7 linked regions of the Rattus norvegicus genome follow. The protein of the gene in region 7 interacts with the protein of the main gene of each other region in a pairwise test. Links are inferred from orthologs where the notes say so. Each region holds a gene or a part of one and is shown on either strand. Other genes may lie near its edges. The genes, in order: Hdac4, Mta1, Dock2, Ccdc185, Sh2d4a, Atpaf2 and Krt40.

Region 1 (3,500 bases), on a different chromosome or scaffold from region 7:
AAGCAAAGATGAGGTCAGAGAGGGAAAGGGAGTGCTGTTTCTGACTGTGGCTCCCAAAGCCTAGTTGCACCAGCACCTGCGTCAGTGCTGAGTAGAGTGGCCCAGCCACTGCAGGCCACGGCCTGTTCTGCACTGGTGACAGGACTCTCAGTGGCCCTTATTGCCATGGCAGCATTCCTGATAGGCATCCTCTAGAGGGAGGCCTAGCCAAGCCGCAGCCCCTTGAGAGCCTTCCTGTCCCTGCTTCTTGTTCTGGACTTTCTGCCTGCCTATCTCATGCCAAGGCTGCAGCATGCGTGGCACCAGTGAGCTCTCACATTGTCAGCAAACTGTACCCAACCTGGAGAGGAAACAGGGAAGCCTGCCCTGGCAGTGGGGGCCATTTGACAGGGAACTAAAAGCAAGAAGCCTGAGGCCTTCTCAGCATCAGGCACAGCTAGTAGAATTGCCCACAACCATGTACTAGTACTCCCCCCAACTTTCCTAGAGGTCCCCTTGTAAGCCACAGTCGCCATTGAGCCCGGGGTTCTAAGTGGGCGTTCCTTTATTTTATGTGTCAGTACCAGTGTTCCTGCCTGGGTTAACAAGGTAGACTCCAGCCTTTAGGGAACTTGAATGTTGTCCAGTGGAGTACTTTGAACTGTAACCTTAAGAAAAACAGAAGGTACTCAGAACCATAGGTGGTACAAAGACACTGAAGAGATAATGACACTAAACAGAACACAGGATATGTTCAAGCCAGAAAGGAGCACAGAAGTTATTAGGGGTTGACTGTAGGGCCATAAGACAGAGAGTGTTGTGAGGGTACTAGGGCTCAGCTGTTCATAGAAGGGTATTGGGAAGAAAGGCCCCTCTCTCTGTTTCTCCTTTAACCTAGCAGTAGATGGGAGGTGAATGGCCGTGTGTGCTTTTCTGACATCTTTCTCCATGTTGATTAATAAAGATGTTGGAATGGAGCTTGTCTGCCCACAGCACACTTACCCTGCCTCCTCCTTTCAGAAGACACCCTGCACGCTTCCTATGACAGTCCTTACCTGTCACGGCCTGCTTTTAGCAGTTATTTTGATTTCTGACTATCATGGGCTACTATCCCTGGCACTTGTAACCACTTAGAACTGAGCCTTTACAATGACCTGACTGCCTTAGAGCCCAGTCACTTTGGGCAGGTCAGCCATACGTCGATAATACCTTTCTGCCATTCTTGACCCCGAGTGTGTGTGTGTGTGTGTGTGTGTGTGTGTGTGTGTGTGTGTGTGTGTGTGTCAAACAGACCGACTACAGACAGACGAAGTAGGGAGGGATAAAGAAAGGGCTTCAGTCATACTCTGACTGCTTGAGCACCTGTCCTTGTAGGCCCGCCTTTCCACCTCTGGCTCTATCTGAAGGTAGCTGACCTAGGCCTGACCTGCCATCTGCATCCCAGTGCTTATACTTCAACCTTTCTAGCCAGACTGCAGCTTGTCTCCCTGCTGTTCTCCACCCAGGGCCCAAAGGAAGTCCTTTGAGCCCTCTGCTGTGTTCTGAGCCCCAGGGTCTGTCTCTGCATTCCTAGCCCTGTTGCTTCCTCTTTTACCTGTAAGCTGCTGTGCAATGGTGGCCTGTTCCAGAGGCCCATCCAAGCTTCTCTTGTTCTGTCCTCTGCTATTACTCCCTAGCAGATGAAGCCACCTTCCCCAGGGAATTTCCTCCATGTCATCTAAAGATACTCTGTCCCTTCCATCCCTGCCATAGGACTGACCTAAAGGGCCCAGTCTCAGCAACCTGACATCAGACACCCAGGTCACCTCATCCTGTTAACAGTTACCTGTTGCCCCTGGTGCTTGCTAGAATGGTGTCACTTACCCTTCCCCCGCCCAAAGTCAGAGTTAGGAGTTTGGGATACCTGGGAGTAAGGTGCCATTAGCACATCACAAACTGTACAGGGGAACAAATACTTAGCAATGCATGTTTGATAAAGCCTGCTTGCTTAGTCTGCCCCATCAGCCGGAGAGAGGATTGACAGCTCACTAAACTGGCGTGGGCTTTATTCACCTAGCTTTATTGAGGCTGTTTACAGTGTACAGTGTGTTGGTCTGCGTGAATACAATATGACACAATCCCAGCCATGCCAGTTCACATGTGTAGGACTTCACTCAACCACCCCATTGTATGCATGTTCATACTCAGCATGCTTAAGATACAGGACAAGTGCCACCGTCACCTTTCTCACGGAACTCATCTATCCAGTAAGAAGCAGTGCCCTGTGGTCAGTGTCTCCCTGGCTTCCACTGTCTTCCTTTGTGTCTTGGGGTTTTAGGCATAAGATCCCCTGAGCAGTCTAGGCTTTCAGAACATAATTGGAGAAATCTTGCTTTCACAGCCGTGTGGTAGCTTCATAAAAGTTAGCTGGGGAGCTTGGCACATACTTTTGAAGGCGCACCACCAGTAGTGTCCCCCACAGACTGATGGTATGTCCTCAAGGTCCTTTCTATTTGGTACTTCCCTAAGCTTTCAGAGAGGCAGCTTCTGAGGACTTTTCGACCCTCCCAGTTCTGTACTGGTTTCTTACCACAGGGTGACTGACATCTGCCTCTGTTGCCCTTCTCCAGCCACAGTATGTCCTGCTAGGTGGCATCTGGGGATGTTACTCTCAGCATCTGTGGCCATGTGACTGACACTGGCCTCTCTTGAACTTACCTTTCCTCACTTCTGCACATTGAGCTGACACTTGCAACCTAACTTAGTTTTCCCTACCTGATACACGCGAAAACACTGCATGAGCACTGGGTACCTAGTATCTGTCTACCTCTGTCTGCAGGTCACATTACCTTAGCCCTGAGACCATTTCCTGTGTGTCTCAGATACTGCTAGGGTCCATGTTGTGTGGGTAAATGGTACCTGCTGGCCCTGGATCACACAGGTCCTTGGTAGAGCATTCCTGAGCTGTGGAAGGTGGAGGAACTTCTTCCAGTGCCACGGCTGTCCTGACCTCCTTTGTCTCCTCTGTATTGCAGATGATTTCTAAACCCAGTGAGCCACCTCGGCAGCCTGAGAGCCACCCGGAGGAGACAGAGGAGGAGCTCCGTGAACACCAGGCCTTGCTGGATGAGCCCTACCTAGATCGGCTCCCTGGGCAGAAGGAGCCCTCCTTAGCTGGTGTGCAGGTGAAGCAGGAGCCCATCGAGAGTGAGGAGGAAGAAGTAGAGGCCACTCGAGAGGCGGAACCCAGCCAGCGCCCAGCCACTGAACAGGAGCTTCTCTTTAGACAGGTGTGGAATGAGGAGAGCAGGCAGCTTGACCTTCAGCCTCTCCTGGCCTCTGAATCACAGACAGTCGCTTTTTGACCCTAGCCATCTATCTTACTGCCCTCATGGGAGGAAGGGTGTATTTGTTGTACACTCTCAGGTACATGCACATCGACATCTGCCCTCTGAAGGAGTGCATACACCGTCTCCATCATGTGGCCTGCACTTTTTCCTCTGGTATGGGAGGCTGTAGATTGTAACCCCAAAACAAGTGTT
Region 2 (3,500 bases), on a different chromosome or scaffold from region 7:
GCCATGTAAAATACATCATCTGGGGCGTCAATCCAGTTCATCCGCCGCCGCTTGACTGGAGGCAGGGAGCCGCCTCGGATTAGGCGCACTTTGGTGGGGTAGGACTTCCCATTGAGCAGGAGATTCCGACTTGGTCCCTGTGGTAAACAAATGTATGAGCACAGGAAGACAGTACCCTGCCCTTACCTTATAACCCTCAGCCCAAGACCCCCAGCCTCATGGGCAGCCAGGCCTCAAGGTTCCATAGCTAACCCACAGCCCAGGTAGGCAGCCCCTGGAGGGCTGTAGAGACCTGAATGCAGTGGGTCTACACTGTCTGTTAGGTCTGGCTAGGGCTCCCAGATGCTCTCCATGGTACCTGGTGAGGAGTGGGAGCTACCCGGGCCACTTCCCCAACACCCTGAGGGATGTGTGCACATACAGAAGCATGCCAAGTCTCCAGTCACCCATTCTTACCATGTGCCTGGTCTGTCCATGGTTTGCCAGACCTGATAAAAGAGAACACAAAGTGAGGCCAGAACAGGGGAAGGGCATTCAGCATCCACACTGACTGGGAACACTTCCAAGTCCATGAGAGTGGAAGTGGGCATGTACCTCATGAGCCACCCCTCCAACCAAAGCCCACACAACGGGCCCGTAAGATGCTCTTCGCTAGCCCAGGTGGGCCCACAGCCCTGCCAACCCCACGGACCACACATATATATGTATATGCCACAGAAGGTACAGCAGTTTGGCAACTTGGGCTCCAGGTAGGAGGCCAGAGGCCTCAGACACAGGCTATGACAGACAGGTGAAGTCTATGGACATCGAGAGCAGCTGCAGGCTGTCATCTCTATCCTTAGGGCAGCAATTGTCTGCTGGTTGCTCAAAACACTAACAGCAGATGCTAGGTAGGAAACAGATCTCTGGTGACAGCAGCATACTCGTAGGCTGAGGGTCTAAGAAGACACTGAGATGTCACTGGAATGAGGCAGAGGGGCAAACTTGAGGCTCTCGCATCCCACCCCAGCAGGAGTGCCAGCTGCGGTCCACATCAGCAAGCGCTGTACCCCAGCTTTGCTGCCATGTGTAAGCATGTATGCCAAACAGGTCCCTGGATGGCTTGGCCCCAGGCAGGGAACAAGACAGGACTCCTCTACCATGCCTGGCTATGCCACTGGACCCATGACAATCCACCAAGTTCCACACACTCATCGGAGAGCTCCCTCTTCTTTAAAAAAATATTTTGAGACAGGGCCTTATCATGTATCCCAGCTACCTGGAACCCAAGATCCTACTGGCTTCAGTTTCCCAAGTGTGAGATTTACAGCCTGCCTGTCTCTAAGAAGCAACAGTCTGCCCCATGTCCTCTACCTGCAACCTGCCCTATTCCAGGACCCTGGCTCCAGCCTTTCCCTAGTAACTCGTTGGCTCCCAGGGACCGTTTCCTGGTCTGTGGCACCCAGACAGGGACAGCCTGCTCACAGTACCTAGTGGGACCCCAACCCTGTGCCCACACAAAGCCCTGTCACAGGGACTACTTACCCAGGTAAGTGCCTGCCAGAGGGATGAGGCGGCAGAGAGAGAAGACACAGGCCAGGGTTAGAGTGAGCGGCATGCACGTGGCAGCTAAGCCGCAGGGCAGAGCAGCAGGCAGTATGGGGCAGGGGTTAGTGAGTTAAGAGCCCTGGGTGCCAGGGGCTAGCACCTTGCCCAGAGTTCCCATGTGCCCTGCTTATTTACGCAAGGCCAGGCCTGAGGCGCACCACTTGTTAGCCTGTGGCTCCTAGGCTACTTCCAGGACTGAGGCCTAGTTTTACAATTTCACAACAGCCACTTCTCTGTGGCTACGCCCCCTGACATGGGAGCTGCCTAGAGCACGCACAGGGCCAATGAGTTCCTACTACATTCTATACCCAAGTCTTCATGACAGACTTTAAAAAAGTTCAGTGAAAATGAAAAGCTCTTTGTTGAAACCAGAGCAAGGTCTGGGAGGCCATGCCTGGGCCCCTGGACTGAGGTGTACATAGCATGGCCGGTCTCATAGCCACACTAAAGGGATATGCCTGCTTGGGTACCTGACAGCTGGCAAGCTTCCAAAGCAACCTTGAGAGGGAGTATCCTGAGGGAATAAGGTATGTGAGATAGTCACTGCCCACTGCTACCTCCTGGGCTCTTGTCTTGATAGCTGGGGAGGGGCCTGAGCAGGCTCATGCTGGCTGGCTAGTATTTCCCACACTGACATCCAGACTTGGTGCTATCCCTCATCCCCAGAGCAGGTTTGTGCCCCACAACCCTTACCCCATCAGCAGACTCCAAGCTAATCCTCAGCAGACACAAGGGCCGTATGTAAGCTTAGCCACCAACCCATCCCTAATGTCCCCATCAGGCAGGGCACACAAAAATTGCAGGTAGCACTAGCCGCCCTACAAGCAAGGCTGAAGGCATGCGAGCAGTCACAGCGCGATAGCAGTGGGGGCACCAGGGGCCTCGTCCAAGGACAGTCCACCCATGGCTCAGGCCAAGACAGGCCACGGCCAGAGACCCAGGGTTCCTGGGCCCTCCTCCAAGAGACGAGTCTACAGGAAGTATGGGCTGTGGCCGGGTCTGTGTGGATTGCCCCTGTACGTGCCCTGAACCGCCCAGTCTGCTAGCAGACAGTACACACAGGCATCACGACAGGACTTGGCCACAGCACCCCACCAGCGGCCGCCCCAGGCCTTACCCCTACTGGGCATCAAGAGGCGCTTCTTCATGTTGCCTGGCAGTGCCCAGGAACAGGAGAGAGAGGGAGAGAAAACACCATCAACTAAGACAGCCAGTTGAATAAGGGTCACGTGGAGCTCCAGGGCTAGCCCTAGTCCCTTGGCCCTCAGGCCTGACTTCCTTAGAGGGCCAGCCCTGCAGCTCCCAGCAGACCTGCCTTGGTCTCTTCACAGGGCCAGTCCTTAAGCTCAGACTCACCATCTACCCCATTGTGCTGCTCATAGCTCCTCTTGCCCAAGATGGTAGGGGAGCCATTGTTGATGACAGGGGCTGACTTGGCAGGGGTCAGACTGCTGAGCACACTGGATGAGCTCTTCACAGGGTCGGGCTTAGGCGGGCGGGGATGAGTCTCTGTGGGAATGGAAGAGGTAAGGGTGTAGTTCAGAAATAGCAGCACCATAGCTTCCATGCAGTAATAACACCTTCTTACCCCGAGCCCATCGATTGATTAGGCTAGAAGGAGGCAGTCCCTATGCTACCAGAGCTCACTGGAGCAGCGATCAAAGCACTGGAGCAGGAAGGCTACCTAGGGTATGTTCAGGAAGCGTGACAGCCAAGTAGAGCCTCGCCCAATGCCTTGGACAGGACAGCTGGGTAAGTGCTAAGAGCTTACAAGATCCAGACACAGCCCATAAACACAGCAGCTCCATCAGACAGCGTCCACACCCAGGCCACCAGGTCTGATGGCAGAAGGCTGGCTACTGGCCAGACACTGAGCTGCCTGCCTGGCCCGAGCAAGGACCTGCCCACAAAAG
Region 3 (3,500 bases), about 66 Mb from region 7:
TGCTAATGAGAGGGCTTGGGATGGGGCTGGCCTGTGCCAGAGAGACCAACCCTCTTGTTACAGGGATAAGACTTTGAGTCACATATTATCAACACAACCTCCAGAGAGGAGACAAGGAACAGAGATGAACCTCCAGCCCGGGACTAATGATTCACTCAATCCTGGCTGAGTAGTGCAAGCTTTGGAAAGATTCTCCACACTTGAGCTCTAGTGAGCTCCCTGGTAGGTGATCACATGCCAATATGCCAGAGGGTGATGTGTCCTGATAACACGGAAGTTCCCTGTCTTGGATCCTCTCCTCCCTCGCCCTGTGTGACCCTCACCTAGCTACTCGTGATTGGTGGCCTCATCTGAAAGCCTCCGTACAGAAGCTCCTCAGTGTATGAGGTCACATCCTGCTAAGTCTGCTGTTAAGTTGAAAGTGTAATCTGAAAACACATGGAATCTACCCATATATAATGTGTGTGTATATGTGTGTGTGTGTGTGTACATATATATCTATTTGTGTGTATATATATGTGTGTGTGTATGTATATATCTGTTTGTGTATATATATATGTGTGTGTGTATATGTGTGTGTATATATGTGTATGTGTATATGTAATATATATATGTGTGTGTGTATATATACATATATATATGGACTTTAAAAGTATTGCACAATCTGCTTATATTAATCACTTGATATATATCAACTGTATTTATAGAAGGCTGAGCACGTAGTAGGTGTTCCATTAATGTAGCCTTTATAACTACATTCTCTTGAGTAAGCGATAGTTCCATAGGTCCAATTATGACTGGTTTACCTTTAGGGGTGATTTTCAAAGGTCTAGGCATATAGGAAAGTTCCCCCATGGCCAGCCCCTTTCAGCTCTTATTCCCACAACCCTCCCCGTCCCCAGTCACAGGGATCACTCATACCATCTCTCGGACACCATACTCCTTTTCCACCTTCATTTTCAGGTTCTTGAAGCACTCCTCCATCCGGTCATGGAAGGGGCGCAGGTTGTCTGACACCCTTTTCTCGTGAATCTTAATTCCTGCTCCCAGGAAGGGGATCTGAAGAGAGAGGTAGCAAGCCATGGCCCTCAGCTAAGGGGGGCTGGCTCAGGAGCTCAAGTTGACTTGTTAACGCTTCCTCAAGGGCCTTCAGGTGCTCCGAGACCCACATGGTCCCTGGACAGGTATAGCCTTGGGATTTATAATGGAGGGTAACAATGACCCCAGATGCTCTAGTTTACCCAGACTTGTCCTTGTCCCGGGCATTAGAAGCCACAGACATGGGGAAGTCTGAGTCCTCAAAAAACTCTGCAACGTGTCGGAGTTCAGAGAACAGAAAGAGGGACTCTCCAGGGCTTTGCCTCACAGTTTTGTTTAAGAAGTATTCAGGAGTAAAAAAAGTGAAATTATGAAGATAAGAAGTCAGGCAACAGGGAAGAGCGAGAAGGGAAGAGAGGCCACAGCCCCTTCTTACACCGTGGGGCCCAATTATACTTTTCATAGCTGCTATGAGTGTGCTGGTATCAGAAAGTTCTTTTATTAGTAGAGAGTTTCTAGACAGTGTTGCCACACCCCAGGAAGACATGAGATGAGGGAAGAGTGGGTAGAGAGAGACACAGTTTGTCTTATCCACGAAGGAGGTCAGAGCACGGAACCTCAGAGACCTGGAAGGGGAGGAACAGAGCCGCAGGGCTCAAGGCTCCAAGGAAAGTTTGAGAAACTTAATTGCACGGCCCTCTGGTAAAATAGCTAAGACAGCCAAGATAGGGGATAGAACCTTTTTAGAGAAACGAGCATCTCCACCAGGGTGGGGTAAAGCCATTTCTGTCTCCTTCTCTTAGCTGTCTTGAGAGACGAGACGTGCAGGGAGACACACACTCTGCAGTGAGATGGGCACTCAGCTGTAAGCGTGCCGCGCATGGGCAGGAGGAAGGTAGCTGGAGGCTGTAACTGACCTTCGAGAGCAGAGGAGGGAGTTGGTGGTTAGAAGAGGCCATCCTGCTTCTAGGAATGAAGGAGGCACTGGGGGGCAGAGGCAAGGCTGTCCCGGGAAAGCTGAGGTTTAGATCCATGCCCAAGGTGCCCATCGCTTCACCTTGCAGCTAGGTGTAATGCGCTCCTCCTTTCTCAAGAACCAGAAACTTGTCCTCTAAAACAACTAGATCATGAAACCTGGGACTCAGGGGGCACTGTACCCGAAGGTACGAGGGGGGAGGAGCAGCCGCCCCCAGACTGAAAACAAGCAGATGAAAAGAAAATGGCTTAGGAGTGGAGCGATGACCACTGCACGGCGCCCAGATGGCCCAGCGTGGCAACCAGATCATCTTCCCGCTGACCACGTGGAAGAATCTGCTTCTAGAGAGTACAAGTGACCCGTGTAGGTGCGCAGGTTCAAACGTGGGGGTCACTTAGTTGCCAGGCAATAAGGCCACCTTGCTGACAGATGACCCTTCTCCCTGGCATACTGATTCCAATTAGCTTCACTGGGAATTCGGAGGAATCTGCAGGGGTCACCAGGCACTGCAAAAAACTCACCCAAAATTAACAGGCAGGATAGGGAGCATGGGAACAAAGGGACAGACGGATGTGGAGGAAAGTCTACGGAAAGCTTAAGATGCTCCGTTAAAAGTATTACCAGAGGAGTCTTCCATAAAGATAATATGGCTTTAGTGTTACACTTTAGATAAGACAGGAAATTGGTCATCAATCTCCAGGTGTGAAGAGGGAGGAGGGAGGGGCAAGGATGCCCAGTGACAAGCACGCAGGCCAACCAGGCTAAGAGAAGCCAGCAAAGAATTATGGGTGTTAAACTACAGATCAGCTAGACTTCAACATCCACAGAACACTCCATCAGAGCTTTGGAATACACATTTTCCTGTGTGAGCACGCCACTCTTTCACAATAGACATTTTGCCAAATCCCATGGGTTTGGGTACATTGTACTTCTGTTTTTATTCGGTTCGAGGGATTGTTATAATGTCCTTTCTCACATCCTCAACGATCCCTCTGTCATTTAAAAGGGCATTGTTCAGTCTCCGTCTATGCGTACAGCCTCTGAGGTTTACCTTGCCATCTATTCTGAGGATCAGAAAGGATAACACAATATGGTGTAATAATTTTTAAGGGTAACTTTTGTTTTATGTGAGTGATTATGTATGTGTGTGAGTGGGAACGGAGAGGGATTCAGACTCTCCTCAGGTCTGCTGGCAAACAGGGAAGCTGGTACGGACACCTTGAAAAACTGTTTCTTATATCCAGGAAGGCTGGACTTGAATGAACCAGCAATTCTACTCTTACATGTACCTTGAGGGAATGGAATGTACACCCATTTACCAACAGGAGGACGGATCGATAAATGGATCTATTATTTGTATGCTATATACTTACAAGGCAAAATTTAGAGAACGTCAAATCTTTGATAGGTCAGGCAACCCAGTGAATTTTAAGGGTATGAAAAAGAAGATGGACTCATAATAGGATGAGTTGTGTGTTTTACTTCT
Region 4 (3,750 bases), on a different chromosome or scaffold from region 7:
TTCCACAGGAACCATTAGCACACAGAACCCACGGGTTCAGTTGCATTGTGGGGTCAGACCACATTTTACAGTAGCTTTCAATCTCCCAACAAACTTGGAAAGAGGGCTCAAGCCTTCATTTGGCAAAAGGCCACATTCTGAGACACACAATGCAGTCCGTTGAAGATTTCACTGCCAGATAAAAAGGAGACTGATTGTTCTCAGCATCGAGGGGATGATTGGCAGCTTAGCATTCACAAAATATCTCTTTCATGTGCTCCTGGGAACCCTGGCTTGACTTGCAAGCCCGGGCCTTCCAAGGAGTCATACTGGGATATGGAGAAGCAGGTGTGCTGTGCTGGCCCAACTTCACTTGGCTGAACACAGAAGATCCAGAGTCACTGGCCCCTTGGCAAAGGGGAACGAATCTCATAAAAGTGATGGGGGGTGAGGTGGGGGGGAAGACAAACGACAAATAAATGAAATCTTCTAGGGGCTATTTGAAAACAAAGCAGGCAAGAGTCATATTTAGATAAAAAAGCAAAGCTGTAATTCACACATTAGAGGAAAATCAGAATTGCCTGTTGCAGTTCTAAAGTTCACAAAGGTAAATGTGAAAGCATCCTTAGGGTTCGCTAAGCCCAGACCAGTGTGGTTCAAGGGCTGCTTCCTTTCCACACCTTGCATGCACAGATGAGGATCAGTGAGGTTGGTGAGATCTTAGCCTGTTAAAAGCACTTGTCTCAAAGCCTGAGTTTGACCCCTGGGACTCACATGGTGTAAAGAATCAGTCAACTCCTACAACTTGTCCTGAGCTGCTCATACGCCGATCATGGCGTATGTATTCGTCCATACATACATACACACACTAGAACAAACATAAAAATAAAAAGAGATGTGACTCCAAAGGACTAGCAAGATCCTCCTTCCTGGACACTACACTTTGCCCCTCCCTCCCACTACTTTCTATTTTTAAACTGGCGCCCTCGGCCCGGCCCGGGGGCTCCCACAATCCACTAATTCAGGGACCTGAAACACCGTTGCTGTCAAGATTCTCGTTTCTAAATACCACCCTTGTTTCCAAGACGTCCAACCAGCTCGTCAAAGCCCGGGTACACTGAGGCCTTTAAAGACCATGTGGCACCAGGATGCATTATGAAGTGGCAGAAGCGTCACAGGCCACGTGGATCGCAGGATTTGAGCGTGGGCTGGGTGTCCACAGTGGCCCCCTGAAGGTCCGCTGACCTTCCTGTAGACTCTGGGCCAGCCAGGAAGGGAGCATGGCCGGTTTCCATCTCTTCTCCCCAAAGCCCTATGGGGAGCTCGGGGAACCCTTGGCAGCTGGAGAGCAGGAGTTCGCGGACCAGCTAGGCTGGCATGAGCTGTCTCGGAACTCCTGGGCCCAGACTGCCGGAGCTGAGATCGAGACCGAGGTGCCCTGGGTGCACCCGAAGTGTTCGCCCGCCGGGCGGTCCCGTCGGCGTGGGTATATTGCCTCGCCACGAGAAAGCCACAGCCTGACACATGTGGCTCGCAGACCCTCGGACCGAGCCAGGAAGCACAGGTCTGGGAACCTCCGCCTGGAAGAAGCCTGCGGGATGGGGGAGGCACCGACCAAGTCCAGCAGAACTTGGCAGCAGAAGCGGCAGCAGCAGCCACCGGATCAGCCCAGCCCACGACACCCTGCAGCCCCGGGAGTTTCGTCCCCGCAGTACCCGGGGGAAGCTTTCAGCCCCCCGAGTGCTGGGGCTTTGCTTGTAGAAAAGACACACAATGGAGACCGGTGGGCAGTACCGGTGTGCAGACATGTAGGCCCCGGGTCCCCTGCCTTGGATCTCACAGACAAGTCCTCTGTGCACTCCCTAGAGCTCTGGAGGCAATCCACTTGTGTGTGCACCCAGAATAGGAAAAACCGCGATCGGACTAAGTATTACCCGCCCTCTGCCTCCTGCAAAGAGAAGAGTAGCCAGCATGCTCGGGTCCTCAAGAGCAAGTTGGACGAGGCGGTGATATCTTTCAGGGACCAGAAGATCTTGGCCCTGGTGCTGAGCAGGCTCAAGAAGGCTCAGAGGATGCGAGAGCTGCAGCAACAGGCTGCAGTCGCCTGGGAAGAGCTGAAGCGCTCAGACCAGAAAGTCCACCTGACCCTGGAGAGAGAGCGTAGGCTGTTGCTGCTGCAGAGCCAGGAGCAGTGGCAAGGACAGAGGGAACAGCACAAGCCTCGGAGGGGCCATAGCCATGAGCAGCCTCGCCAGGGCCACGAGCAGCAGGGACAGCGGCGGGACCGCCAGGCAAAGAGCACGGTTCAGCCGGAGAACCAGAGTGGGTGGACGATGCAACCTGACAAGCCAGAGAACCAAGGCCTAGACAAGATGGATAGGGTGCAAGTGCAGGCCGAGCACCTCAAACACTGTCAAGCGCAGAGTCTGCGGGAGCAGGAGAGGGTGCTGCAGAGTGTGCGGGACCTGAACAGGCTGCAGCTGCAGAAGAGGCTGGAGACAGCAGGTCACAAGAGGGAACAGCATGCGATGGAGAGCCCGAAGAAGGTCCAGGGGAGCAACCTGAGTACGGTTGTTAACGTCCAGGCCCGCAAGGTTCTCATGGACTGCCAGGCCAAGGCGGAGGAGCTCCTCAGGAAGCTGTCTCTGGAGCAGAGTTTCCAGAGCTCTCAGAACATGCAAGAGGGTCTGGTTAAGGAGCGGCACAGAGGGCAGCAGGGGAAGGCCCAGACTGAGGCAGAGCAGTTCCAGAGAGTGAAATGGCGAGAGGAGGAGGCGGAGGAGTTGCTCCAAGAGAGCAAGCGGGTGCTGGCAGAGCTGGCTGAAGAGAAGATGGGGCAGGCCAGGAGTCATGCGCACAAGACCTCCAAGGACAGGGCGCAGCACCTGCAGGAGCTGAACATCCTGCGGGAGAGGAACCGTCATATCTTGAAGCTGAAAGCGGAGAAGGAGGAGAAGTGTCACATTGAGGGCATCAAGGAAGCCATCAAGAAGAAAGAACAAAAGTTAGAGCAGATGACCCTAGGGAAAGATCCCATCTTCCAGGAGTACCAGAAGGTTCCCCTAGCCTCCAAGATAAACCGCTGCTATGACAAGGGGGCAGCAGAGACCCAGCTGCCCCTGCACCAGCAGGGTGGAGTCTACTGAGAACCCAGGAGGAAGAAGGCACAGCCCAGCAGCCAGAGACATCGTCATGCAATTCCGTAAAAATCCGATTTTAATCGAGCATTGATTTTTAAAAAAGTATATACAGTAGCTGCATTTTCCTCCCATGGATTAGTTCATCGATTCTCTCGGATGCTGTAGATGTGGTTGGGGCAGGTGACGTGGGGCGGGGGCGGGGGAGGATACGAAATCTGCTTGGCTTCGTGGGTTTTGAGGTGAAATACCTCTCAGGGAATGGAGAATCACACATCAGGCAGGAGTTGGAGGAGCCGGAGACGAATGCACAGTTGGGAGTAGGGTTTTAGGATGTGACTTGGTAAGCCTTGCCGCGTGTGAAGCGGGAGGAGCCTCCCAGGGGAAGCAGCAAAGGTGGGCTGGGAGAATCTCTAAGCAACTAGAATGGAGACTCTGGTCTAGTGCGATCCTTTCTCCAGAGCCCCTGGTACATTTGTAAATGTAAACGCCTACAGTATAGACACTCATTTGTAACCTAGCACTTGCCACGGACCATCACCCCATTCTTCTTCTTCCTATAGAGTGATGTTCTGTAGTTAAATGCTTTTTTCTTTCTTTTCCTTTCGTTCTTGTTTTTGTAAATGGCTGCCTA
Region 5 (4,224 bases), on a different chromosome or scaffold from region 7:
CTGCTAGGCAGAGGACAAACCATTCTAAAGCACCTCATCTGGCCACCTGATTCAGTGCTGTGGAGAGAAAGCTTTAAGCCAGGAATCCTTGCCTGAGTGTATCACAAGCACCATTCCTAAATGGCTAAGTCTTGTTTCCTCAGAGTGGAGGGTGTAACTCCTGCCTGTAATGTTTTCCAACTTAAGAGTTTTTCTGGAGGAGTTAGGGGAGGGACTGAAGGAGCTGAAGGGGCCTTATCTGGCATCAATAGGAGCCTGTGAAGGCTCAATGCCCCAGTGTAGAGGAATGCTAGGGTGGTGAGGCTGGAGTGGGTAGGTGGGTAGGTGGGTAGGGGAACACCTTCATAGAAGCAGGGTAAGGGGGCATGCAATAGGGGATTTGCAGAGGGGAAACCAGGAAGGAAGATAGTATTTTAAATGTAAATAAATAAAATGTCTAATTTTAAAAAGTTTTCTGTGGTTGCGAAAGCCTACGGTAAACAACGTTTGGGTTCAGCACGTCAGGCTCCTAAATCGATTGGATAGGGTGTATAAAGTCACACCATGTTTCTTGTTTATAACAGTGCTCTCCAATCTCCCCAGTCTGAACTCCTGTGTCATCCCTCCCCACCCCCACTCATACACACCCCCAGCCCTGTTTTCTTCCACACATGCCCAAGGTTCCTCGCCTGTGGAAAAGGCTGTTCCACTTTTCCACTCTGTTCAGCTTTCTCCCCTCCCAGATAAGCTTAGGCTTCAGCAGTGCCCTGTGCCACCCTGGTCCTGATCACAGGGAACTTCTACCTTTTTTCCCCTCAGGTTTCTCTCCCTGGCTGCCCCTTTCCCTAGAGCCTGCAACATTCCAGTCTTTCTCTTCCTTGAACATGCCTTAAGCCACACCTGGAGTAACAAATGCTTCAGAGTTTGATAATTTACTTAATGTCAACAAAAGAGAAGGAAAAAGTAAGCTGTAGAAACGCAGTCACAGAACTGCAGCCAACTTGGCTGCAGGACCCAGGTTCCCAGATGGACCCTGCCTGCCTGCCATTGCAGGCTCCACCTAACAAGTCAAGTGTGGACAATTGTAATTAGTAAGTCCCACAGACCCCCCCTGAGGTGTCAGGGCAAACTACCCCAGACTGTAGACAGCACTCTAGATTAGCCAAGGACTAGTGGCCTTGCTGTCACTGGACCAAGGCAGCCAAGCCTTGCCTACTGGCCCTGGAGCGCCTCCAGCACCCGGGAGGGGCCTTGAGGGAGCGCCCAGTCAGTCACCCCAGCATGTGGGCGCGGCGGGGCGGGCCAGGGCTGTGATCTGGACGCCGAGTGTCCTTCTGGGCCCGAGTGTTTGTCCAGACAGCCCGCGCGGCTGGGTCTCTGCGCGGCTGGGTCTCTCTGCTTGTCCTCCCTTCTCTTCCTGGAGTTGCTGTAGGCAATCTGGAGGTGGCGGCGGGTGCTTGGACCACCTTGCCCCGGGTCCTGAGCAGGTAGGTGACCGGGTCGGGTAAAACGCTGGAGCATAGAGCCAGGCAGAAGGGTGAGCGAGGAGTGGGAACCAGGAGATGCGTCTCTAGAGCGAAGGGTGAAGCACAGAGGACAGGGAGAGGAAGAGACCCTGGTTCCCGCGGCCAGGCTGCTCACCTGTCCCTCCGGTCCCTCCTCCACGGCGCTCAGGGCGAGCTCAGGTGCCCAGAGGAACAGACCACAACGGCTGCGGGTGTCCGATGTCTCGTGTAGGGTGTCCAGTGTCTGCAGCCGGGTCCAGGTGAGTGGCGGCCCCAAGAACAGAGGGCTTGTGATCATTATACTAAGAGTCTCCAGAGGGAGGAGAATCGGAGGCGACTTGGAGTCTTTCAGGAAAGTTGTCCCGTCCGGGCTGTGCATGCACACGCGGCGAGTGCTAACTGGCCTGGGGCAGGTGCACAGCGGGGGCCACCTGCGAGGGTCTGAGCCACGAAGAGGGTGCTGGGTGTCGGCTACAGTACCCACAAATCAGCGGAGGTCCAATCACTGGGCAGTGCCATGTGGTCTCCTGGCCCGGAGACCTTCCAGACAAGAGTCCTGAAACCGGTTTCAGCACAAGCAGAACTCCATTAGTAAGTTCCCCGCGCTCCCGCGGGCGCCCTCACGTGGTACAGAGAGCAGCGGGCTCGTCGTCTCTCTGTGGTTCTGGGTCAAGGCTCAATCTAGAATCAGCCTAGCCAGAATTTTCCTCAACAAAAGTGAGCCATTACCAACCGTTCCTGCCTTAAGGGGTTCATGGGCCCTAGGTGGAGGCACTCAGTGTTTATAGGTTTTCTCAATGTCTCTCTTTGCTATGGTCCCAGAGAAGCAGGGATGACAGCCTCTTGCTTGTGTAAAGAAACAATGTATTTATAATTTTTCTTATTTAATAATAAGTGGAAGAAATACTTAGGCGAAGATTTAGCACAAATAGGCTTTTCTAGGAATATCTATCTATGAAATACTTCAATCTTGAGAGTATTTACAAAACTTCCAGCTCCTCTCACCACTTGCAATTCATTTTGTTTCCAAAATCATCATGTAAATTAATAAGAAAAATATTGAGCAATTCAAAGCCTGACAACAGAGAACGCAAACTAAGTTCTTACCTTTAGGGATATATGTACTGTAAATACAGAAATATTTTAATGAAGGTAGTTGTACCCAGAGTTTAATTATTATCATTATTGTTATTATTTATTAGGCTCTGTATTAATTAAAAACAATTGTGAGGAAAAGTGGAAAGTGTGAAAGTCAGACAAGATCTACAGGTATCCTGAGAACTTAACTAAATTTTGGACTCTTCAGAAATTTTTAGAGTGAGTGACAGGTATGGGCTTGTTCCCTGCTAGTTGTCTTTTTCAAGAAAAATGCCACAGGAGAGGAAAAACAAGTTAACTGGGCTGTACTCTGTGTTGGACCACGAGTGACTGCACTCAGTATGAGACCCACACATCACCAAACAGTGATTGTCCGGTAACGTGAAAGTAGGAAAACCCCTGGCAGGTTCACTTCCTCCTTTTCATTTCCTGTACTTGTCTCAATAGCTTCAAGGCAGATTTTATCTCAGGATCCAAGAGCTACAATGATCCTCAGGTTAGTTTTATGGATTAAGAAACAGGGTCTAAAGATGTGAAGTGACCTTCCAAAGTCATGGGTCACTGGAGGCAGAACCGGGAATCTAAGCTGGTGAACCTGTCTGTAGCTGTGCTGTGGTCTGCTCTAGGAAAGCCTTGGAGAGCTGGTTAACTGACATCACTCAGAGCCAATCAGCAGTCCAGTTCGGTGCCCATAGTCAACAGCCACAGGCACTTGTTAGCTGGGTTTCTTTTGTATTCCCTGAGGCCACCAGGAACCACGGTATTTTCTTCAAAAGGGATTAAACTGGCCCTGGTGGTTAGGGTCTATATAATCCCAATTATTTGAGAAATAAAGACAGCCAGTGTGGAAAGTCAAAAGCCTGTTTAGGCTAGGTTATATTAAAAACTGGCCTGGACAATTTAGACTCCATCTCAAAACATAAAGTAAAGGGGGCTGGGGGTGCAGCTCAGCAGCGGAGAATTTGCTTGGCATGTGCAAGGGTCAGGTTTAATCCTCAGACCACAAAACAAAACATGCCAACCAACCTTGATGCTTGAAGTCTATGTTACACAAGCTACCCGAAGCAAAGCAGAACAAAGAAGAGAGTTGCGCACCTCTTTACTGGAGTACCAGGGAAGGGAATGTTGGTGGAACAAGGCAAGTGGAGAGTAAGAGGAAGACAAAGTCACCACTGGACCAATGCGGGTAGCAACTCTGTGCTCCTTCCTGGATGGTGTATTTTCTTCTGTGGCCTCTCTAAGCTTATCTACACTTGATTACCGTAGGCTTCCGCACTAGCTGAGGTATCTCCAGTTTTAAAGTTCTCTTCCCAAGGACATTTTCTGATCTTTGTCCGGAAAATTTCAAAGTGGCACCAATCACTTCCTGATTCTGGACTCAGGAGTAAACTTGTAGCAGCCAGTCTGTGCAGTGGATACAGTAACTGCTGTGCTTCCCCCTCACTGTCTTCCTCAGTTCCTCTTGGCACTACAGTGGAAGGAGTGAGGGACTTAACTCTTGCTGAGTGCTTATGGTAGTGCAGGAAACAGTTAAGTGTCCGTTCTGTTATCAGAGAGCGCCTGGAGCCAAATCATTCCTGGAGGAATGTGCCCTTGGCTCTTTGAGGGAGTTAATTTTCAGTTCTCTCTGATCCTTCAAGAA
Region 6 (3,942 bases), about 39 Mb from region 7:
TCTGGAGCAGAGGTCAATACTCTAGGTTGTTCTGGCCAATATAACAAAATCAGACAATATGTATGAGTATGTGGCTGTGTTCCAATAAAACTTTATTTCAAAAGCAGGTAGAAGTCTGGTCCCTGACACGCCTATGAGGATGGCAAAGCAGGCAATGCCTCTAAAGTGGCAGAAACTTGGAGAAGCTGCCTTGGACAGAGGGGCAATTTGTACAGGACTTCAAGCTTTTATTTCTTTGGGAATTTGCCCCAAATGCTGCTTCTCCAAACTACATCTCCCTCTGGGCAGAAAACAGGAGGGTGGCCACAGCCTCACAAAGGTCTCTGCACCACACTACCTCCTCCTGTAATGCTGCAGTGAGCCCTTCGAATGTCCCTCCTCTCCACACAACCTTCCATGGTGTGGCTGTCCCTCAGAGACCTTGACAACTAGAGTCTTCATCAAGAAGGACTTAATAATTTATATGCTTCAGAGATACACAGAAACATCTCACACCTGGTGAGGACTTGGAGAGCAGAACATATCCTAGGGAGGCAAGGCATAAACAAAGACATTCGGGAGGTCACTAAATAGGCAAAGGGTTAATTTAAACGAGTAGACACTTTTTGTTTTCCAACATGGAAGTGCTTGATCTGCCATCTTTTCTTTTGTATACAGACTTACCAGTTGGCTCTTAGCGTTATCTAGCACATAGTAGGTAGTCAAATGTGAAAGAAAATAGGAATGTATGAGTGAGGCACAATGAGATATGTGGAAGTCAAGCCCTGTTCTCCTCCCCCTCCCCCATGACCCCAAGTGATCCTATCTCAGACTCCCAAGCAGCTGATACATGTGTGTGACACCACTAAGCTTCTTCCTAGCCCATTTTTAGGCCTTCGTTTATGTCCTGATAAGTAAAAATCAGCTCCCTGCTGCATCCACTCTTCTTCCACTTATATAAGATTATGGGTTATAGACCATGGAAATGGCTCACCATGTAAAGACACTGACCACAAAACCCAATATCCACAGTTCAATCCCTGAAAGCCACAGCCAACCCCTGCTAGTTGTCCTCTGACCTCCATGCACATGCCAAGGGCATATATACATATACATACTAAGTAAAACAAAAAATTATGGAATTTACAGCCTAAAGAATCCTTAAAAGCAATCTCATGCTTCAGATCACCAAAGAAAACAACATCATACCTGCCCAAGACCACAGTACCTCAGAAGTTTAGCCAACAAGAGACCCAAGGTTTGTACTCTTCTGCCAATGCCAAACTGCCTATGGAATTGTTGCCTAATGAGGGCAGTGTTGCAGCAAGATCTCTAACACCCAGTCATCACCTCTGGACATGCTACACCCTTTTCCTCCCCCAGCAAACTCTTTTTTTTTTTTTTCCTTTTCTTTTTTTTCGGAGCTGGGGACCGAACCCAGGGCCTTGCGCTTGCTAGGCAAGTGCTCTACCACTGAGCTAAATCCCCAACCCCCCCAGCAACCTCTTACTCATCTATCAAGCCCCAGTTTGAATGCCCTTTCAATCACCCTGTACACACTCATCCTTGTGATCTCTCAAGTCCTTCGTACTTCCCACATCAGTGTATTGCAAACTATTGTTTAGTGAGCATAATGAGTCCTGCATCTGATGTTGCGTACCATTCAGGTGAGACCACGTGCCCTCAACACAAAACATGTAACCCAACGAAGGGAGGGAGGCCATCATTACTTTTCATTCACCAAAGTGAACCTCACTGGTAAAATCTCACTCCAGAAGCAATGAGATAACCTTCTTTCAGGATTACAGTCCTTAGTAGGTCAAAGAAGCCTGGTATAAAGCGTCACTATAGAGAAGGCTGCAGAGAATGCAGAGGTCGTGGCACTGCACTAGGACAGAGGGCCTGCAAACCCTTAAGGAAGTGTGTGAGGGTGTTAGACTTAAAGCCAGCCTGCTCTGTGCCAAGTCTTGTGTTGGCTGGGTCCTGGAGACAAAAAGCAGTCAAGCTAATCTTTGCCTCCACAACTTCAACCAGTCTGCTCTGTGACCTTGGAAGTCCTGATTGAAAGCCTAGATTTTCCTTTCTGAAATCAACGAACTCCTGTTTCCCTTTAAAAGGAAAAAATTGAACCAGGTGCACGCCTGTAATTCCAGTACTCCGGAACTAGAGGTAGGAGGATCTCAGAGTTCGAGGCCAGCCTGATCTATAGAGTGAGTTCCAGGGCAACCAGGGCTACACTGAGAAACCCTGTCTTGAAAAATGAAACAAGCAAAAGGCGAAGAAAAAGAAAGGAAACTGAGAGAAGCCTCAGCCAAATATCTCCTACCCTGGAAACGCTGTGTCCCCTAAAGTCACTCCCGCACTGGTTTGGATGTCATTTTTCAAACTGAAACAGAGTTCTATTACTCTGAATATTCTCATGGGCCTGAACCCTGCCTCAGTCACCCCGCACTGCACGTCGGAAACCTTCCGCCAGGTGAGCCCGACTTGGCTCCTGAACAAAAAGTAACAGAAGTCCGGGCCTCACCTGTTGGCGGGACGTAGGCCCGGGCTGGAGGCCTCAGAGCTGGCCCCGGCCACAATGAAACGGTGGGGTCACCGAGAGGCCGGTCCAAGAGACCGCGCCACCGGTCCCTCAGCCGGGGGTAGATTCGCCACATCATGCCCAAGGGTTTGGGTGGACCCATACGTGAAAACAGTACAGGAATAGAGCGAAGAGAGTCCCCCAAACGCCTCGCTGGTTCCGTACGGAAACCTCTCACCAAGGGTTCAAAGCCCTCAGCCTCCTCAGCACGCCGCCATCTTCGTCATGACACCTACGGCACGCCGTCACAGCCACGCGCCCCCTGCGTACCGCCCCCGCCCCCGTCAATCAGCATCACAAGCGTGCTCGCCCCGCCCCCTCCATGCCGCGCTACGGGAAGAAAACTACAAGTCCCAGAGGGCCATTCGCGCACCGCACCACGTGCTTTCTCTGTCTGCCAATGGGCGGAAGCGCCGCGTGAGCTTGCTCCCGCCTCTCCGGCGGGTCCGCGCCAATTGGAAGCAGTAGAGTGTGTGTGTGTTTGTGTGTGTGTGTGTGTGTGTGTATGTGTGTGAGTGTGTGCGCGAGTGTGTGTGTGTGTGTGTGTATGTGTGTGTGCGCGCGTGTGTGTATGAGTGAGTGTGTGCGCGTGTGTGTGTGCATGTGTGCGTGTGTGTGTGTGTATGTGTGAGCCCGCGAGGGCAAGTGGGAAGGGGAGCCCAGCTCAGGACTGGGAGGCCCTGCTTGCAGGTCTCGGGGTCCAGGTGGCGACACGAGCGCTCGGTCAGCCGGCAGCGGGCGGGTGGTTCCCCAGCCCCTCCCCCGCGCGTGCGCGCCCGGGTCCGCCCTCCCCGCAGCTTCGGCTCCCGCGCGGCGGCGGCGGTTCCTTCCCCCTCCCCCAGCCCTGGCTCCGGGGGACCCCGCGATGCCGGTCCGCACCGAGTGTCCCCCGCCGGCGGGTGCCTCAGCCACATCCGCGGCTTCACTCATCCCGCCGCCGCCCATCAACACCCAGCAGCCCGGCGTGGCCACCAGCTTGCTCTACAGCGGCTCCAAGTTCCGTGGCCACCAGAAGAGCAAGGGGAACTCGTACGACGTAGAGGTGGTGCTGCAGGTGAGCGCCAGGCGGCAAGGCCCGGCCCGAGGGCCTCCTCGCGGCGCTCACGGGCCGGGCCTGCCCTGGGCTCCTCGAGCCCTCAGCCGCGGACCAGGCCCTCACTGCCGGGGCCTCCTGCACCCGGCGCCTCCCACCGGGACCTGCCCAGCTGATGTCACACTCTCGAACCCTACCCCTAACCCACCCCTAGACTCAGAGCCTGTAGCGGCCAGCCTCCGACAGACCCCGAAGACTGTCCCACACTTGGAGCCTTTGACTCTCCCGCTTGGGATCCGGAAGCACCCCCATGACTAGCCGTCCTTTAGCCTGGGTCGGTTCTTCC
Region 7 (4,245 bases):
CACATACATGCATATCCATGCATACACACACACACACACACACACACACACACACACATACACACGCACAGTGGACTTTTATTGATGCTGAAAGCAATTTTCTCTGTGTAATTTTTGAAAGTGAAATAAAAACCACAATTAAAATCAGACAACATGAAACTCCAGTTTATAGTTATAGTAGAGGTGAGATCCTAGAACCAATGTCCATCTAGTTCTGTACCAGAGGTTCTTAACTCAGTGAAACTGTTAGCTGAAACAGACATCACATAATCATATTCCCAACATCCAAATATTTTTCATTTTCATGAAATTGAGACTTTCCTAAATAAAAAAGAGGAGACAGACTCCATATTTTTTTAAAAGTAAGATTTTTGTGGCTTCCTTGGCTCTATTCCCAAGTATAATGGGTAAGGAGCTCCGTCACAGATTACAGCTAAACCCTCATTGCAATTTCTCTCTCTGCTCTCCTTAATATAGGTAAGGACTGGGACTATAGGTTGAGGTAAATCAATTATGTGCCATGAACAATACCTTATGATTGATCTCCAACTTCAAAGGAAGGAAGAAGGGAGGGAAGGACGGAAGGAAAAAGAAAGAAAGACTGCTTTTCAAAAACAGCATAACGCTTCTAAAATGTAAACATGAGAAAGCAAAGCTTGCGTGTCTGACTATCCACTCAGTGCACATCCAATCTCACCAACTAAGCAGGGTTAGGCATGCTTAGTGCTTGGCTACAGACCACAAATTCTAGATGACCAAAGATCGCAATTCAGATCTTGATAACCAATTCATAGTTTGACTCAATTATTCTCATCAGTCTATAAAATGAATGCACATAATTTGCACTCAGCATAGACCTTTTCCTGTACCATGTAAGCACATACTTCAAACTCACTAAAAAAAAGACACTTCAAGATTGAGATTGCTAACCGCCATTTTTACAGTGGTTGGTAGCACAAACAAATACAATTTAATAAGCTGTGATGTCCATTTGTAAAGTAGACAAGAGCAATCAATTTTCAAAATCAAACCCTGTTGGAATATTACTTTCTGTATCTCCAATGATCTCTACCTTTAATTACTGATGGCTCGATTTTTTTCTTTGGTTCCTTATTCATTCAAAAAGGTAGTGCTTCCTATGGCCGTTTGCTGAAATAAGAATTTTTATCCAAGCAGCATGTGGAAATGGCGTTAGTCCTGATTTAGTAACCTGAAGTTATCCTCCTTTTACGAGGCATACAACTTCCTCCGTAAATAATCAACACTAATGAGATGTTTGTAGGAAAGCTGGCATCTGCAAGGCTAGAGAAAACATCGGTGTGTCCTGTAAACACTCATTTGAAGGGAGATATAAAAGTCTCAGGAAGCCAAAAGTCCTAGACCTTTGGGAGACTAGGCGAGACCTAAGCAATACACCATTCAATCTGTTCATTCCTTCTCAGAAGATGGCTTCCGAAGGCTCCCCTGACTGCTGCTCTTCTGAGCCCTATGCAGGGGCATCGAGCTGCACAACTGCCTCATTCTGCCCCACCAGCACAACTTACCTTCCCAGCACCTGCGCCACATCCAGATGTCAAACCCCGAGCTTCCTCTGCAGGGCTCACCTCCCGGCCGGTTGCCTCTCACCGTGCTACTTGACTGGCGGTTGTAACAGTCCTTGCCTGGTGGGGAACTGTGCATGGTGTGAAGAAGGGACGTTCAACAGTAATGAGAAGGAGACCATGCAGTTCCTGAATGACAGATTGGCCAGCTACCTAGAGCGGGTGAGAAGCCTGGAAGAGAACAATGCAGAGCTGGAGTGCAGGATCCGAGAGCAATGTGAGCCCGATGCCACACCGGTCTGCCCGGATTATCAGCGGTACTTTGACACCATTGAAGAGCTACAACAAAAGGTTGGGTGTCTCACTGCCCTAATGTTTCCCAATGTTCTCTGTTTTCCAATTCTGTTTTCTCTCATAGCTGTACTAGGGCAGGTTGCTTTGTGGATGTAAAACAAAGGAAAGGGGGATTCCCAGAGTTAGTTCAAATAATCAATCTCATTCTCAGAGAATTATTGGGTGACTATAGAAATGTCACCTTGCTGTAGACTTTGTCTACACTGTGAAGGAAATTGAGTTATGACGTCTTCTAAACCCCATTCTTCATGTATCATTGCGTGTTTATATTCTTTATCAAACAGATATTGAATGCCATCCATTTGAGTTCTGGAAATCGTTCTCTATTTGTGTGTATGTGTGCAAAATGTGGGGTTGGTGGGCGACGTGATATATGATCGTGTGGGGAGGGAACACATGCCTGAGTGTGGGTAAGGAGGTCTGGGGTCCATGGCAAGTACCTTGCGTTCCTCGCCTTGTTTTTGAGACAGAGTCTCTTCTTGAAACTGGAACTCACTGATTTAGCTGCAGTCCCTGAGGCCTGGCCAGGGAGCCCCAGGGATCTTACTGTTTCCACCTCCTTAGTACCAGGGGTTAACCGACACTGAGTATTATACTTACCTTTTTCACATGAGCTCTGTGAGATTGAACCCAGATCTTCCTACTCGTGTTTCAAACCCTTGACCAACAAAGCCACTTCTCCTTTTTTAATTGATGGATTTCTGTGACCACAGAGATGCAATTCTAACAAACACTAGCAGTGTGGGAAACTTCAACAAAGCTCAAAAGCCAGTGATGGTGACAAAATGCCCTGCATCACTGATAAAGGAAACCTTGAACCCCAGAGACGGCTCAGCAGTGATTAACAACATTGTACTGCTCATGAGCACCTGAGTTCAGTTCCTACCATCCAAGTGTGGCAGCTCACAAGCACCTAAAACTTCTCACCTTCTTCTCACTGCACAAGGCTACACTCTTACCAACATACAGACACACTCAAATGTGTACACTCTCATGTGCATACACATACTCTTAAATATACACGCTCACCTGCACATACACACACACACACACACACACACACACACACACACACACCTACACATACTAAGAAAGAAAAGGTGAAATCCTTCATTTTAGGAAGGGAAGGTCTTTTGCTTCTGTATTTTGTTTCTCAATTGGCACTGAATGTTTTTTTATTCTGTGAAGTGGCACAGTTAATAGGAATCATGGGTTGGAAGAGACATTATGTTAACTTGGAAAGACTTTCATAAACTAATGAGTGGCAAGGCTGTTAAAATAGATATGTGGATTTCTTCTAAAGAGCTCCTCACTAAATGATGACTTACCTCTTAGATATTGTGCACGAAGGCAGAGAATTCTAGACTTGCCGTGCAGGTGGACAACTGCAAACTGGCTGCCGATGATTTTAGGTCAAAGTAAGTCAAATTATGTTTATTTTGTTAAGCCACAGTGTGCTTTGTGTATGCAATTTACACGTTAAATTTTAAATTTAATTATAAAATAATAATTAACAATAATTAATGTCTTCCAGTAAGAGAGAAAATATTTTCTGCATAATATATATTTTTAACTGAGAATGTTTGAACCCTGAACTCACCTTCATTTGGAATGTAAGGAAAATTGAGGCGTGTGACTCTCTGGAGGCCATGTGTCATCCAACCCTGCATCCCAGTACTCTGAGCCAATTAAGCCACTTCCCTCCCTTTCTCCTACTCTGAAAGGTATGAGAGCGAACTGTCCCTGCGCCAGCTGGTAGAGAATGACATCAGTGGTCTTCGTGGGATCCTGGGTGAACTGACCCTGTGCAAGTCAGATCTGGAGGCCCATGTGGAGTCTCTGAAAGATGATCTACTTTGCCTTAAGAAAGACCATGAAGAGGTGAGTGGAGTGGCCGCTGGGCCAAAGACTATAGGAGGAGTTCTGTTGAGAAATCTCATGTGTATAAATTGAACAGGGACAGACACTGCCTATACTGGAACAAAACTAGAGACATTCTCACTGTGTAGCATGATTGCCCCAGTGTCTCTCAAGGTAGATGTGATGTACAGCATGCATCATTAACATAACCCTCATCAGTGGCACGGAGGTGAGGTCACTCTTTTTCCTGCCATTGCTTGGGTTGAGAAGTAACTCAACTCATGGTTTTTTCCATAGCTCTATTGTATAACAAGGAAATTGAGCTGATAAAACTGACTGTGTATCCCCTTCCAAAAAAGGGATAAACAATCACACAATACTTGGAATCATGTTTGTAGGTATTGTGTGTTTATAATTTGATTCTGTCATAAGCTATTAAAATGAGAAGCAGATTGATGTAACAAAGAAAAAATTTACTCTTTGAATATTT

What was found.
Region 1: the proteins of Krt40 (region 7) and Hdac4 interact in binary tests that used the Homo sapiens proteins (3 or more experiments, as listed by UniProt). The two-hybrid records come from large-scale screens. The link is inferred for Rattus norvegicus from reciprocal best matches to the Homo sapiens genes KRT40 and HDAC4.
Region 2: the proteins of Krt40 (region 7) and Mta1 interact in binary tests that used the Homo sapiens proteins (3 or more experiments, as listed by UniProt). The two-hybrid records come from large-scale screens. The link is inferred for Rattus norvegicus from reciprocal best matches to the Homo sapiens genes KRT40 and MTA1.
Region 3: the proteins of Krt40 (region 7) and Dock2 interact in binary tests that used the Homo sapiens proteins (3 or more experiments, as listed by UniProt). The two-hybrid records come from large-scale screens. The link is inferred for Rattus norvegicus from reciprocal best matches to the Homo sapiens genes KRT40 and DOCK2.
Region 4: the proteins of Krt40 (region 7) and Ccdc185 interact in binary tests that used the Homo sapiens proteins (3 or more experiments, as listed by UniProt). The two-hybrid records come from large-scale screens. The link is inferred for Rattus norvegicus from reciprocal best matches to the Homo sapiens genes KRT40 and CCDC185.
Region 5: the proteins of Krt40 (region 7) and Sh2d4a interact in binary tests that used the Homo sapiens proteins (3 or more experiments, as listed by UniProt). The two-hybrid records come from large-scale screens. The link is inferred for Rattus norvegicus from reciprocal best matches to the Homo sapiens genes KRT40 and SH2D4A.
Region 6: the proteins of Krt40 (region 7) and Atpaf2 interact in binary tests that used the Homo sapiens proteins (3 or more experiments, as listed by UniProt). The two-hybrid records come from large-scale screens. The link is inferred for Rattus norvegicus from reciprocal best matches to the Homo sapiens genes KRT40 and ATPAF2.

The regions. Positions count from the first base shown.
Region 1 is NC_086027.1:99,998,638-100,002,137, reverse strand, and holds part of Hdac4 (histone deacetylase 4), read left to right. Parts: intron 1-2,993; coding exon 2,994-3,248; intron 3,249-3,500. UniProt on the Homo sapiens protein: Responsible for the deacetylation of lysine residues on the N-terminal part of the core histones (H2A, H2B, H3 and H4).
Region 2 is NC_086024.1:138,034,415-138,037,914, reverse strand, and holds part of Mta1 (metastasis-associated protein MTA1), read right to left. Parts: intron 3,097-3,500; coding exon 2,944-3,096; intron 2,789-2,943; coding exon of another isoform or gene 2,705-2,788; intron 489-2,704; coding exon 457-488; intron 138-456; coding exon 1-137. UniProt on the Homo sapiens protein: Transcriptional coregulator which can act as both a transcriptional corepressor and coactivator. Acts as a component of the histone deacetylase NuRD complex which participates in the remodeling of chromatin.
Region 3 is NC_086028.1:19,336,470-19,339,969, forward strand, and holds part of Dock2 (dedicator of cytokinesis protein 2), read right to left. Parts: intron 1,060-3,500; coding exon 922-1,059; intron 1-921. UniProt on the Homo sapiens protein: Involved in cytoskeletal rearrangements required for lymphocyte migration in response of chemokines. Activates RAC1 and RAC2, but not CDC42, by functioning as a guanine nucleotide exchange factor (GEF), which exchanges bound GDP for free GTP.
Region 4 is NC_086031.1:96,965,943-96,969,692, reverse strand, and holds Ccdc185 (coiled-coil domain-containing protein 185), read left to right. Parts: upstream 1-1,237; 5' UTR 1,238-1,259; coding exon 1,260-3,125; 3' UTR 3,126-3,250; downstream 3,251-3,750.
Region 5 is NC_086034.1:26,173,175-26,177,398, reverse strand, and holds the start of Sh2d4a (SH2 domain-containing protein 4A), read left to right. Parts: upstream 1-1,424; 5' UTR 1,425-1,466; intron 1,467-1,653; exon of another isoform or gene 1,654-1,744; intron 1,745-4,224. UniProt on the Homo sapiens protein: Inhibits estrogen-induced cell proliferation by competing with PLCG for binding to ESR1, blocking the effect of estrogen on PLCG and repressing estrogen-induced proliferation. May play a role in T-cell development and function.
Region 6 is NC_086028.1:45,717,708-45,721,649, forward strand, and holds the start of Atpaf2 (ATP synthase mitochondrial F1 complex assembly factor 2), read right to left. Parts: upstream 2,801-3,942; 5' UTR 2,667-2,800; coding exon 2,507-2,666; intron 1-2,506. Other genes in the region: Gid4 (glucose-induced degradation protein 4 homolog), read left to right, coding at 3,429-3,617. UniProt on the Homo sapiens protein: Plays a role in the assembly of the F1 component of the mitochondrial ATP synthase (ATPase).
Region 7 is NC_086028.1:84,996,099-85,000,343, reverse strand, and holds the start of Krt40 (keratin, type I cytoskeletal 40), read left to right. Parts: upstream 1-1,445; coding exon 1,446-1,892; intron 1,893-3,230; coding exon 3,231-3,313; intron 3,314-3,619; coding exon 3,620-3,776; intron 3,777-4,245. UniProt on the Homo sapiens protein: May play a role in late hair differentiation.